3 linked regions of the Stegostoma tigrinum genome follow. The main gene of each other region encodes a partner of the protein of the gene in region 2 in a complex. Links are inferred from orthologs where the notes say so. Each region holds a gene or a part of one and is shown on either strand. Other genes may lie near its edges. The genes, in order: actin-like protein 6B, AT-rich interactive domain-containing protein 1A-like and phf10.

What was found.
Region 1: AT-rich interactive domain-containing protein 1A-like (region 2) and actin-like protein 6B share a complex: the UniProt entries of both Homo sapiens proteins name them as parts of the neuron-specific chromatin remodeling complex. The link is inferred for Stegostoma tigrinum from reciprocal best matches to the Homo sapiens genes ARID1A and ACTL6B.
Region 3: AT-rich interactive domain-containing protein 1A-like (region 2) and phf10 share a complex: the UniProt entries of both Homo sapiens proteins name them as parts of the neural progenitors-specific chromatin remodeling complex. The link is inferred for Stegostoma tigrinum from reciprocal best matches to the Homo sapiens genes ARID1A and PHF10.

Annotation. Positions count from the first base shown.
Region 1 is NC_081398.1:8,382,391-8,386,138, reverse strand, and holds the start of actin-like protein 6B, read left to right. Parts: upstream 1-1,302; 5' UTR 1,303-1,341; coding exon 1,342-1,396; intron 1,397-1,503; coding exon 1,504-1,580; intron 1,581-3,748. UniProt on the Homo sapiens protein: Involved in transcriptional activation and repression of select genes by chromatin remodeling (alteration of DNA-nucleosome topology).
Region 2 is NC_081377.1:32,757,697-32,761,444, forward strand, and holds the start of AT-rich interactive domain-containing protein 1A-like, read right to left. Parts: upstream 2,741-3,748; 5' UTR 2,364-2,740; coding exon 1,356-2,363; intron 1-1,355. UniProt on the Homo sapiens protein: Involved in transcriptional activation and repression of select genes by chromatin remodeling (alteration of DNA-nucleosome topology).
Region 3 is NC_081362.1:87,911,384-87,915,131, forward strand, and holds the start of phf10 (PHD finger protein 10), read left to right. Parts: upstream 1-1,423; 5' UTR 1,424-1,437; coding exon 1,438-1,587; intron 1,588-3,748. UniProt on the Homo sapiens protein: Involved in transcription activity regulation by chromatin remodeling. Belongs to the neural progenitors-specific chromatin remodeling complex (npBAF complex) and is required for the proliferation of neural progenitors.

The sequences.
Region 1 (3,748 bases), on a different chromosome or scaffold from region 2:
TAGTGACCATGCTGGCAAAGTGCACCTAACACAGTTGGTTAGTACAATAACAACATGCATTTACATTGTGCCTCTAACTTAGATATCCCTGAGATATTTCCTAAGAACGATCTCAAACCAAATTTGAGGCACTAAGGGGCTAGAAAGGGCAGCTCTGTCAAAAAAGCTGATTTCAAGGATCATCTCAAAGGTGTGAGAGAGAGAGAGAGCGACTGAGAAATTTAGGGAGGGAATTCCAAAGGTTAAGGAGTCAGGCCAGCTGAAGGCATGATCGCCAATGATGGAACGATGGTAATCAGAGGGTGGGCAAGAGGCTAGGATTGCGGGACTGCAGATATTTTGGAGGTTTATGTGGCTGGAGGTGCTTACAGAGATAGTGCGGGCAGTGAGGTATTTGAAAACAAGCATGAGGATTTTAAAATTGAGGTGTAGACAGATCTTGTGGATTAGCAAGGTCACAGGGTGATGTGTGAGTGAGATTCGGTGTGAGAAAGCAAGATGAGAGAGTAAAAATGCAGTAAGTTCCTTTTATCCATTAATGGGATGAGGTTATGACTGGCTGAGCCAGCATTTATTACCCATCCCTAATTGCTCAGAGGGCAGTTCAGAGTCAATCACATCGCTGTGGGTCTGGAGTCACATGTAGGCCAGACTGGGTAAAGACAGCAGATTCCTTCCCTAAAGGGCAGTTGTGAACCAGGTGGCATTTTCCCCAACAACTGACAATGCATTCATTGTCATCATTAGATTCCTAATTCCAGACATCTTACTGAATTCAATTCCACCATCTTCTGTGGCAGGATTCAAACCGAGGTCCCCAGAATTTTTTCCACGTCTCTGGGTTAACAGTCCAGCAATAATACCACTCGGCCATTGCCTCTCCTGCATTTGCTGGGATGTTGCCAGAAATGAGAGAATTTTACCTGAGGAAAGGTTGGAGTTGAGTTCTTTGGAACAGATGCTGGGGGCAGATGCATTGGAGATGTAGGCAGTGGTGAGGGGCTTGGAAAGTGTGGATAGGAAAGTTGTATTGCTTTACTAGACAGGTCAGTAACTTGACAGCAGAGACTGGAAGTAACTGGTGGCAGGGTTAGAGGGTTGTGACAGCCTGGAGCTTGAAAGGCTGCCAGCCAGTAGAGCACTGGAACAGGAGGAGGCCTTTCTGTCTCTCTTGTCTGCTGTCAAAGCTCGGTCAAAGAGAAAGGCTCAGAATTAGAGCGATTATAGAAAATAAATGGGCTCACCAGAGGAGTGGGTGGGCAACGTGGGCTTGAAGACAAGGGATTTCTGGTTAATTGCAGGAGCACAGCTCAGGATTAATGAAATGTCTAATAATACCAGATGCTGGTATCACCACCATTAACCAACGCTTCATGCCCTGTTGCTGTCTGTACAGGTAACTGGTGCTGCATGTTCTGTTATACTGAATGGACCATTAACCCACGCTGTGTGTCCCATCACTGTCTCCAAATGCTGCAGCTAATTGTGTCTTCTCTCTGTCAGATGAGGTGGGGGCTCTTGTGTTTGACATTGGCTCATATACTGTGAGAGCTGGTTACGCTGGAGAAGACTGCCCCAAGGTACGGTATTGCTACTCATTTCTTTCCTTACGTTGTTGTGCCTTATCTGCACCTCATTCCTGCCACCCTCTGCTGTCTGTCCCTCTCTTTACTACTATCTGGCAGTTACCTGATCCAAGGTGCCCCAAACCTTGCTGCTTCCAAGATACACATACACGTACCTTACCAGTAGAGTGCAGAGAGGAGTTGCAGAGTCATAGAGATGTACAGAGCGGAAACAGACCCTTCAGTCCAACTCTTCCATGCTGACCCGATATCCTAAATTAATCTGTCCCATTTGCCAGTATTCGGCCCATATCCCTCTAAACCTTTCCTATTCATATACCCATCCAGATCCCTTTTAAATGTTGTAACTGTACCAGCCTCTACCACTCCCTCTGACAGCTCATTCCATACACGCACCATCCTCTACATGAAAATGTCGCCCCTTAGGACCGTTTTATATCATTCCGCTCTCATCTTAAACCTATGCCGTCTAGTCTTGGATTCCCCTACCCTGGGGAAAAGGCCTTGGCTTTTCACCCTGTCCATGCCCCTCATGATTTTATAAACATCTATAAGGTCACCCGTCAGCCTCTGACACTCCAGGGAAAATAGCCCCATTCTATTCAGCCTCTCCCTATAGCTCCAACCCTCCAGCCCTGGCAACGTCCTTGTAAATCTTTCTGAACCCTTTGAAGTTTAGCAACATCTTTCTTATAGCAGGGAGACCAGAATTGAACATAGTATCCCAAAAATGGCCTAACCAATGTCCTGTACAGCTGCAAGATGACCTCCCAGTTCCTGTACTGAGAACACTGACTAGTGAAGGCAGGAGAACCAAATGCCTTCTTCTCTATCCTGTCTATCTGCGACTCCACTTTTACGAACCTGCACTCCAAGGTCTCCTTGTTCGGCAGCACTTGATAGGACCTTACCATGAAGTGTGTAAATTCTGCCCCGATTTCCCTTTGCAAAATGCAACAATAGAATAGTGGGGCAGGCTCGAGGGGCCAGTTGGCCTACTCCTGCTCCTATTTCTTATGCCCTTAATAAAACATTCTCTATCTCAGACTTAAAACTAATAACTGATTGGCATCAACTGTTGTTTGTGAAGCTGAATTTGAAACCTTTGGAAATACTTTCAAACATCTCTCCTGAATAGTCAGATTGTGCACACTTGTTCTAGAATCTCTATTGACCCTGGCTCAAAAATGCAACACCTCACACTTATCTCCAGGTCCCATGTTAGTCTGACGTAACTTCCCTCACTGGGCACTTGTAGAAATGAGTGTAAAAATAAGAACCTTACCTGTGACAAAAGGTTGGGATTTGATTCCTTGGCACAGGGGCTGAAGGTAGATTTGGTTGTGGGGTATGAAGTTATGATGGACTTAATAGGAAAGATATATAGCGGACAGATCAATAACCAGGCAGCAGAGACATGAAGTAAGGAGTTAAGAAGGAATTGTTTTCACCCAGGGGGTTTACAGGAGATGTAAGGGAAAACCTTTTCACCCAGACCATGGTGGGAATCTGAACTCACTGCCTGGTAGAGGCAGAAATCCCTCGTATTTAAAATGTTATAACTTCCATGTGATGTAGGTGTCTCTGGCACATTATTGCCCTTGAGAAGGTGGAGGTGAGTTGCCTTCTAGAACCATGATAGTCTGTGTGGTGTAGGGACACCCACAGTGCTGTTAGGGTAGACAGAAACTTTTCCCGGCTGATGGAGGAATCAATGTTCGGGGAGCATAGTTTGAGCTAAGGGATAGAAGGTCTAGAGCAAACGTGAGATTAAAGAAAACCTTTTCACCTGGAGGATGGTCCAAATCTCGAACTCACTCTTTGTGAGAGTGGGAGAGGTGGAAACCCTCATAACATTTAAGAAGTATTCAGATGTGCACTTGCAATGTCAAGGCTGCGGGCCAAGTGCTGGGAAGTGGGATTAGAGAGTAGTGAGGTGGTTGTTTTTGACAGGCATAGACGCGATGGACCAAAGGACGTTTTCTTTGCTACAGTTCTCTGTGACTCCACACGTATTTGATGGGGACAGGTGTGTAGAGGGAGTTTTCCTCTGTATTTAACCTCGTATTGTACTTGACCTGGGAGTCGTTGATGGGCTAAACGTAGAGGGAGCTTTACTCTGTATCTAACCCTGTGCTGTCCCTGTCCCTGGGAGTATTTGA
Region 2 (3,748 bases):
TGTGCATGCTGACACGGCCGATATTGTTTGTGGTGCTGTCCCTGTGCAGTCAGCTGCTCAGCATTTCAAGGTCAGGAGCTGTTTCCACAGCATCTCTTGCCCTCTCCAAGCTAAGCCTGTGAAACAATGGCCATTACCTGTATTTATTTTTCCCCCCTCCCTTACACTCTGTTGTAATGTGAACCATATTCCAGTTTATGAGCTAATCAGGTTGTTTTGCCATTACATCAGAGGCAATTATAAATGGCCAGAAGCAGCAGCTGAAGAGCCAATCAGATTACAGATAGCATGTCACCCTAAGACCAACTGTCTCCTGGCTTTGACAGAAGGATTTTACCTCCATAATTCAAATCCCAAACCCGTGCAATCTGCACTTACTCAAATCACCAGCCTGTGCATTAGTACCAGCTAGTACTGGCAAAGTGAACCAACTCAAGGTTGCATGCACTCGAGGCGGTGGAGACGAGAAAAACAACATGGGGGGGGGGGGGGAGACAGAGAAAGAAACAAGGAGGTGGGAACGGTAACGGAGGTCCATCAATAAACAGCATTAAAATAATCAGACAAAGCAGCAAACAGTGCTCGAGCACTTAAATAAGGGGAGAGAAATTCACTGAGATCAAAATCCTAAAACAAAGAGAGCAGCCAGTACCTGAGCCACAGATCATGCAGCAAAACCCTAGTGCTCTCACAACCTGTTTTGCTCAACTAAACTCACCCAATCCTTTACAGACTTTTTTTGTACAGGAGGGACACTTTTTGAAGTGAAAAGCCTACAAAGCTTGGGAGGTGAGGGGAAGCTGGTGGTGCAGGAGGACGAAAAAGAGGTCAGAACTGGGGAGGGAGAGGAAAGCTGTGTTGGGGGCAGGGGGAAGAGAATGGAAGGGGTGGAGAGAACTGGGGAAAGCGAGGAGGGGGGAAAATGAGAGTGAGGGGAAGGGGGGAGAGAAACGGGGAGGGGGAAGCTGAGATGTGAGGAGGAAAGGAAAGGGACAGCTGGGGTGGAATGGAGGAGGGGAACAGGGAGGGGTCAAAGTGGGAGAAATGAGGGAGAAAGAAGTGTTGGAAAAAAAGGAGGAAGAAAAAAAGTGGGGAAAATAAAGGAGGGAGGGAGAACAGCTCTTCCAGTTCGGGTTCGGGCCTCACTTTACATAATTTATACCGAGACTGCTGCTCCACTCGCACAAAGCCGGCCATTTTAGAGCGGATTCTTTGTATTGAGAGAGAAGCACAAGCACGGCCCTATCCACCTCCCTCCCCCAACCACATACACACACCACCAACCATTAACTAACACTGCCATCACCACTCTTCGCCCCTGGTTACACTAGTTAACCACTAGTTAGCATTTTTACCTGAGTCCTAGGCAAAGGCTGCCCGCTACTCCCGGGGCTGATGGGCGGATGGTGGCTCCTTTGTTGCGCTGCTGCCCAGCCCGAGCTGGGAAACTGGGTTCCCAGCTCGCCTCCCTTGGCCAGCTCCTGGCTGCTATTGTAGTCCTGGTGGGCCTGGTTATAGTTAGTAAAAGCCCGGGCCCCACTCGGGGAGGTGAGCAGCTGGTTGAGGGTTGGGGTACTGGACGCCGTCTGCGGTTGTTGATGCTGTTGGAGGCCGGGGCCCTGCGCCGACTGCTGCTGTTGCCCACCAAAGCGCTGGAAAGAAGCGACCATACCCGAGGCCAAGGCTTTAGGCCCAGCAGCCCCGGCCCGCGGCGAATTGAGGCCGTAACTCTGGTTCATGTAGCCACTGCGGGCCGCCGGATAAGACGTGGTGTAGTTGTTGTAGTGCCCGGAGAAAGCCTCGTGAGAGTTGGGCTGGAAGGAGTCGAGGCCGCCGGGTTGTAGCGCTGCCCCCATGCCGGGGCTTTGTTGTCCGCCATGTTGGTGGAACGGGCCCCGGTAATGGTTGTAACCGTAACCGGTAGGCGGCACGGCGCCTGGGCCGGGACTGGGCCCCGGGTTCGCGTTGCCCAGGGGCACGGCACCACCGCTGCTGCTGGAATGGTCGAATCTCTGGTCGCCGCTTAGAAGAGCCAGGCTGGTGGCAGTAGCCCGTCCGGGGTCTGGCTCCCCGGAACCCGCTCCGCCGTTACTCTGCTCTGAGGAGGAGGCCCCGTCCTGCTCGCCGTGCGGCGGGTGGCCGCTGTCCTCGTCGCTGTGCTCGCCCGGCACCGGGGCCGCGCTCAGCCGGTGGTTGCTGAAGGTCTCCCTAGCGGCGGCGCCGGGCTCCGAGCCGTTGCCCGGCAGGTGATGCTCCTGCTCGGCGGTGGGGCCGGGCCCAGTCCCCGGCTTCAGCGCCGCCAGCTCGCCGGCCTTGGCCTGGCTCATTTCGGTGTCTCTGAGGGCGCTGACCGGAGCGGCCATTGCTGCCCGCCGCCCCGCGCGATCCCCCACCCCCACCCCTGGGCCTCGCCTCGCTCGCTCGCTTTCGGTGGGTCGCTCCCTCCCAGTGCTTGGCTCGGTTCGGCCCGGCGGCCCCGATACCCGCTCCCACTCTCGGCCGCTAGGCTCGCTCGCTCGCTTCCCCGCCCGGCCGCTCGGCTTGCTGACTCTCGGCTCCCCGACTTGCCCTGGGCGGTGGCGCTCAGACGGCCGCACTGCCGGTGCCGTTGTCGGTGGCGCTGCCGCTCCGCATGGCTGGGTGTGGGTGAGCACGGCAGCCCGAGCCCGTCTAACGGAGCCTCGGGCCCAGCGCAACACGCGGTCTGACAGAACTACTAGCCATGTTGTGTGGGGGGCGGCGGCAAAACCCGGAGCGGAGCGGGAGGGGGAGGGGGAGGGGAGCGGAGCCCGGCCTGGGGGAGGGGCCAGGGATGGGGGAGGGTAGGGAGAATATTCCGTCAGTCAGCATAAGGGAGTGTTTCTCTTCCCTAACACTCCCGACATTGAGAGCCTTAGCGTACGCTTCCTCAAACATTGAGACCCCGACACTGGGTACACTCCCCTGACAGTGAGACCCCGACACTGGGTACACTCCCCTGACAGTGAGACCCCGACACTGGGTACACTCCACTGACTGTGAGACCCTGACAGTGGGTACACTCCACTGACTGTGAGATCCTGACAGTGGGTACACTCCCCTGACAGTGAGACCCCGACACTGGGTACACTCCCCTGACTGTGAGACCCTGACACTGGGTACACTCCCCTAACACTGAGACCCCAACAGTGGGTACGCTTCCCTAACATTGAGACCCACTGGGTACACTCCCCTAACATTCAGACCCCGACACTGGGTACACTCCCCTAACATTGAGACCCTGACACTGGGTACACTTTCCTAGCATTGAGATCCCAACACTGGGTACACTAACCCCTAACACTGAGTCCCCGACACTGGGTACACTCCCCTAATATTGAGACCCTGACACTGGGTACACTCCCCTAACACTGAGTCCCCGACACTGGGTACACTCCCCTAACATTGAGACCCCGACACTGGGTACATTTCGCTAACATTGAGACCCCAACACTGGGTACATTTCGCTATCATTGAGACCCCAACACTGGGTTCATTCCCCTAACATTAACGCCCCAACACAGGATACCCTCTCCTAACATTGAGACACTCATACACTCCACACTCCGTTACATTGAGACTCCAATGCAAAGTACACTCCCCTAACAGAGATCCCAACACAGGCTACACGCCCTTACATTGAGGCCGTGACACGGAGTACATTCCCTTACATTGAGACCCTGACACAGTGTACACTCCCCGATTTTGAGACTCTAACACAGAACACACT
Region 3 (3,748 bases), on a different chromosome or scaffold from region 2:
GAGTATTGCCATAGTTCTGATTATCACCCTTTAGGAAGGATCTGAGGATCATTGAGAATGTGTAGAAGACATTTACTATTGACCAGGAATTTTCTCTACAAGGTAATCTGGGAAAATATGGGGGTATTATTTGAGCAGGTAATTGTGGGAGATTTGATGGAACTTTACAAGATCATAAAACATTTGGATAAGATAGACCAGCAGAATCCACCATTCGCTGGCAGTACAAGTACTGGGCAAAAGATGCAGAAAGAATGGATTCCTGTACCACAAGTGACTGACTCAATCCGAAACAAAAACACAAGTTGCTAGAACAAGTCAGCAGAACTGGCAGCATCTTTGGAGAGAAATCAGTTAATGTTTCAGGTCCACAAACCTTTCCTCAGAACGGAGTCACTGGACCCGAAACGTTAACTATGCTTTCCCCCCACAGATCCTGCCAGATCTGTTGAGCGTTTCGTGAAAGTTCTGTTTTTGTTTCTAATTTACACCATCCACAGTTCTTTCAGGTTTTATTTAGTATTTAACTCACTGCCACATCTCTTTTAGGCATGCTCACCTTGAAGAAGTAGAGATAACAAGGTGTGGAGCTGGATGAACACAAGCAGCATCTTAGGGGCAGGAAAACTGACGTTTCGGGCCTAGAACTTTTTCTTAAGAAGGGTCTAGGCCCGAAATGTCAGCCTTCCGGCTCATCTGATGCTGCTTGGCATGCTATGTTCATCCAGCTCTACACCTTGTTGTCTCAGACTCCAGCATCGGCAGTTACTACTATCCCACATTGAAAAAGTTCTGCTGACTCAATCAGCATCGGAACGTAACAACAATTGTTGTCCATTTAGTTCCTCAAACCTGCAAGTCTGAGGTTTCTCAGGGTCTAGGCCTGAAATGTCAGCTTTTGTGCTCCTGAGATGCTGCTTGGCCTGCTGTGTTCATCCAGCTCCACACTTTGTTATCTCGGTTTCACCACCCCCTCCTCAACATCAATTAAAAATAGACGATAAATCTCATATTTGCTAGGGGAGTTCTGCTTTTACTTTGTAATCTTAAACGTGCACTTTCTTTAAAATCAATTTTTAAATCGGTATTATTGCATCGAATTTTATCGTTTTGGTTTTTTTTGCCCTGGTCCATGTTAATGGTCCGTTGGTTTGGAAGGATGTTCGATGCATTGTATCTTGTAAGATAAACTGCTGCTTCTGGTTCAGATTCATTATTATCATCTACCTCTAGACATTTCACACTTGAAAATAAAGCTTGCAATGCCTTCGACTCCTTTTCTGTCCGTAAACCGTCCGTTATTTCTCCCTGTGTTAAGACCAGAGGACACTTTTCTGCGGAAGGCAGCGGTCAGGTCTCGGCGAGGGGGGGGGGAGGGTGTGGTGGAGGAGAAGAGCTTCTGATGGGCCGACCGTGAGGATCCTGGAGTTGAACCCGATGCTGGGGCGCCCCTTGCGCGGGAAGGCTAATGGTCGGCCTGTCTGCCTCCCGGCAGCGCAGCGCACTGCAGTTGAAATGGCCGCCGCGGTATCGTCGAGTCGCCTGTGCGACAGTAACCCAGCAACTCCGGGAGTACAGTCCAGCAAGGTGGGTGACTGAGGCTGCGGCGAAACGGTGCTCGGACTGGTGTTGTTATGGTTCCCCCAGCATGTGGGAAGGGGAAGATGTACGATCGTCGTTGTAGATTTTATCCGATCTCTGGGTTGAAACTGGGACCGTTCAAGTGCAATAAACCGTCCGCTCAGAGCAGAGCGGCCGATTGATGTTGTGTTTCTCGCTCAGCACAGCCAGCTGGTACTGACGCGCGCGGTGAGGTCTCTACATACTCTATTCTCAAACTGTTCAAAGTAGGGTCCTGTCACCAGTTGTTCATCTCTACCTCCCAGTTCAGTATTTGTAAAGTTAAATCATCACGATTCCTAGGATGTTTTTTTTTAAATTCATAATTTGAACGTTGGCCCAGATTTTCTGATGGTCAGAACCTTTTCTGAATTGAAGGTGCGAGTTGTTTAAGGGGACCCTGTAAACTCTTCAGTGTAGGACACTCTGAAGGAATTGCCCGGGAAGTTGACTTTTCTTTTGGAAAATCCCTGTCCCTTTAAATTGGAGAATTCAGGGGGTTTCGATTAAACAAGTAGACATTCAGGAAAAGTTATTAAATGTCCATTCTTAACGGCCGAGTAACTATCAGACTGAAAAAGGGGCCTTCTTGTGACAGCAGCGGTAGTGTCCTTTCCCTCGTCCAAGTTCCACCTGCTTCAGAGATAATCATAGAATCCCTACTGAGTGGAAACAGGCCATTTAGCCCATCTGGCACTGTGCTAACCACCGTGCTGCTGGCTGTCAAGACATCTCTGGTTGATTGCATCCCACTTGCCTCACACACCCATACTATATCTCCTTCATACTCTCAACGCCTTCGAGACCCTGATCTAACATTGTTTTCCCCTCCACTTTAAGACCCAACATCTCCCCTTGTCGTCAGACCTGACACCTCCCTGTGTGTGTGCGCGTGCGCGCGCCTCAAGTCACCCCATCCCCACTGCTGGATCTAACTGCAACTTTGTCCTGCAGTCAGACCATGCCTCAATCTGATATCTCCCACCTACCCTCAACACTCCACTTACCTGGTACCCCACTCATCTGGCATCTTATATACCTGGACCTTTGTGTCCCCGACCCGTCTGATATTCCTAGCCTTCTGGCATCCTACCCCACACTTGCCTTGCATATGAAATAGAGATACCAGTGTTGGACTGGGGTGAACAAAGTCAGAAGTCATATGACACCAGGTTGTAGTCCTAACAGGTTATTTAAAGTCACAAGCTTTCGGAGTGCTGCTCCTTCATCAGGGTGGAGTGGCTACCTGCTGAAGGAGGAGCACTCTGAAAGCTTGTGATTTTTAAATAAACCTGTTGGAGCATAACCTGGTGTAGTGTGACTTCTGACTTTGTCTTACGTACTTGCTGTTTGGCACCAGCTGTCAATGGCTGCCTGAGATTCTAAACCTTCACACTTCAGAATACACCTGTTGACCACTTTGAGAAATGGAGTGTGAGTTGCCTTCCCCTAACACTTCTGCACTTTGCGAGATCTGTCAGAATGGAAATACAGCTCCACATTTCTGAAGGAACCCTGATCAGAATCTGTCAGAAATGCGAACTGCTTTTGTTGCATAAAAGTGGAGATTGCCACTCATTGGAAAATTCACTTTTTTCCCCCCCCCAATTTTTTTCAAACTTTTTATTTAATCCCTTGTTATTTCAGTAAAAGGGAATAAGTAGCAAAATACTACAGATGTTTGAAATCCTAGCTATGTAGAGGAAGCACTCTGGGTCAGACAGCATACCAATTTGGACAGCATTTCTCTTAACAAAATATCTGTGATTTTGCAGAAAGCTATAAAGCAAAATTTGACACTGAGCTGTATAAGGTTACATGGGGACAAGTGACCAATGTTTGCTCAAAGAGAGATTTTGCTGAGCATCTTGAAGGATCCAGCCAAACAAATTGTCTGTTTTATTTTTGAGTTTCTTGTGACTGTACTGTGACTCAATTATAGCACTCTTGCTTCTGAATCACAGGACCCCTGTCTCAAGTCCCACTTTTGACCTCAAGGACAAAAATCAAAGTTGACTCTCCAGTGCAGTACTGAGGGAGGGCAGCAGAATTGGGCATGCTATATGTTGGATGAAAAATTAAAGTGAGGCCTTTGATGCAATGGATGTACAAGGTCCTGTCAGAATAT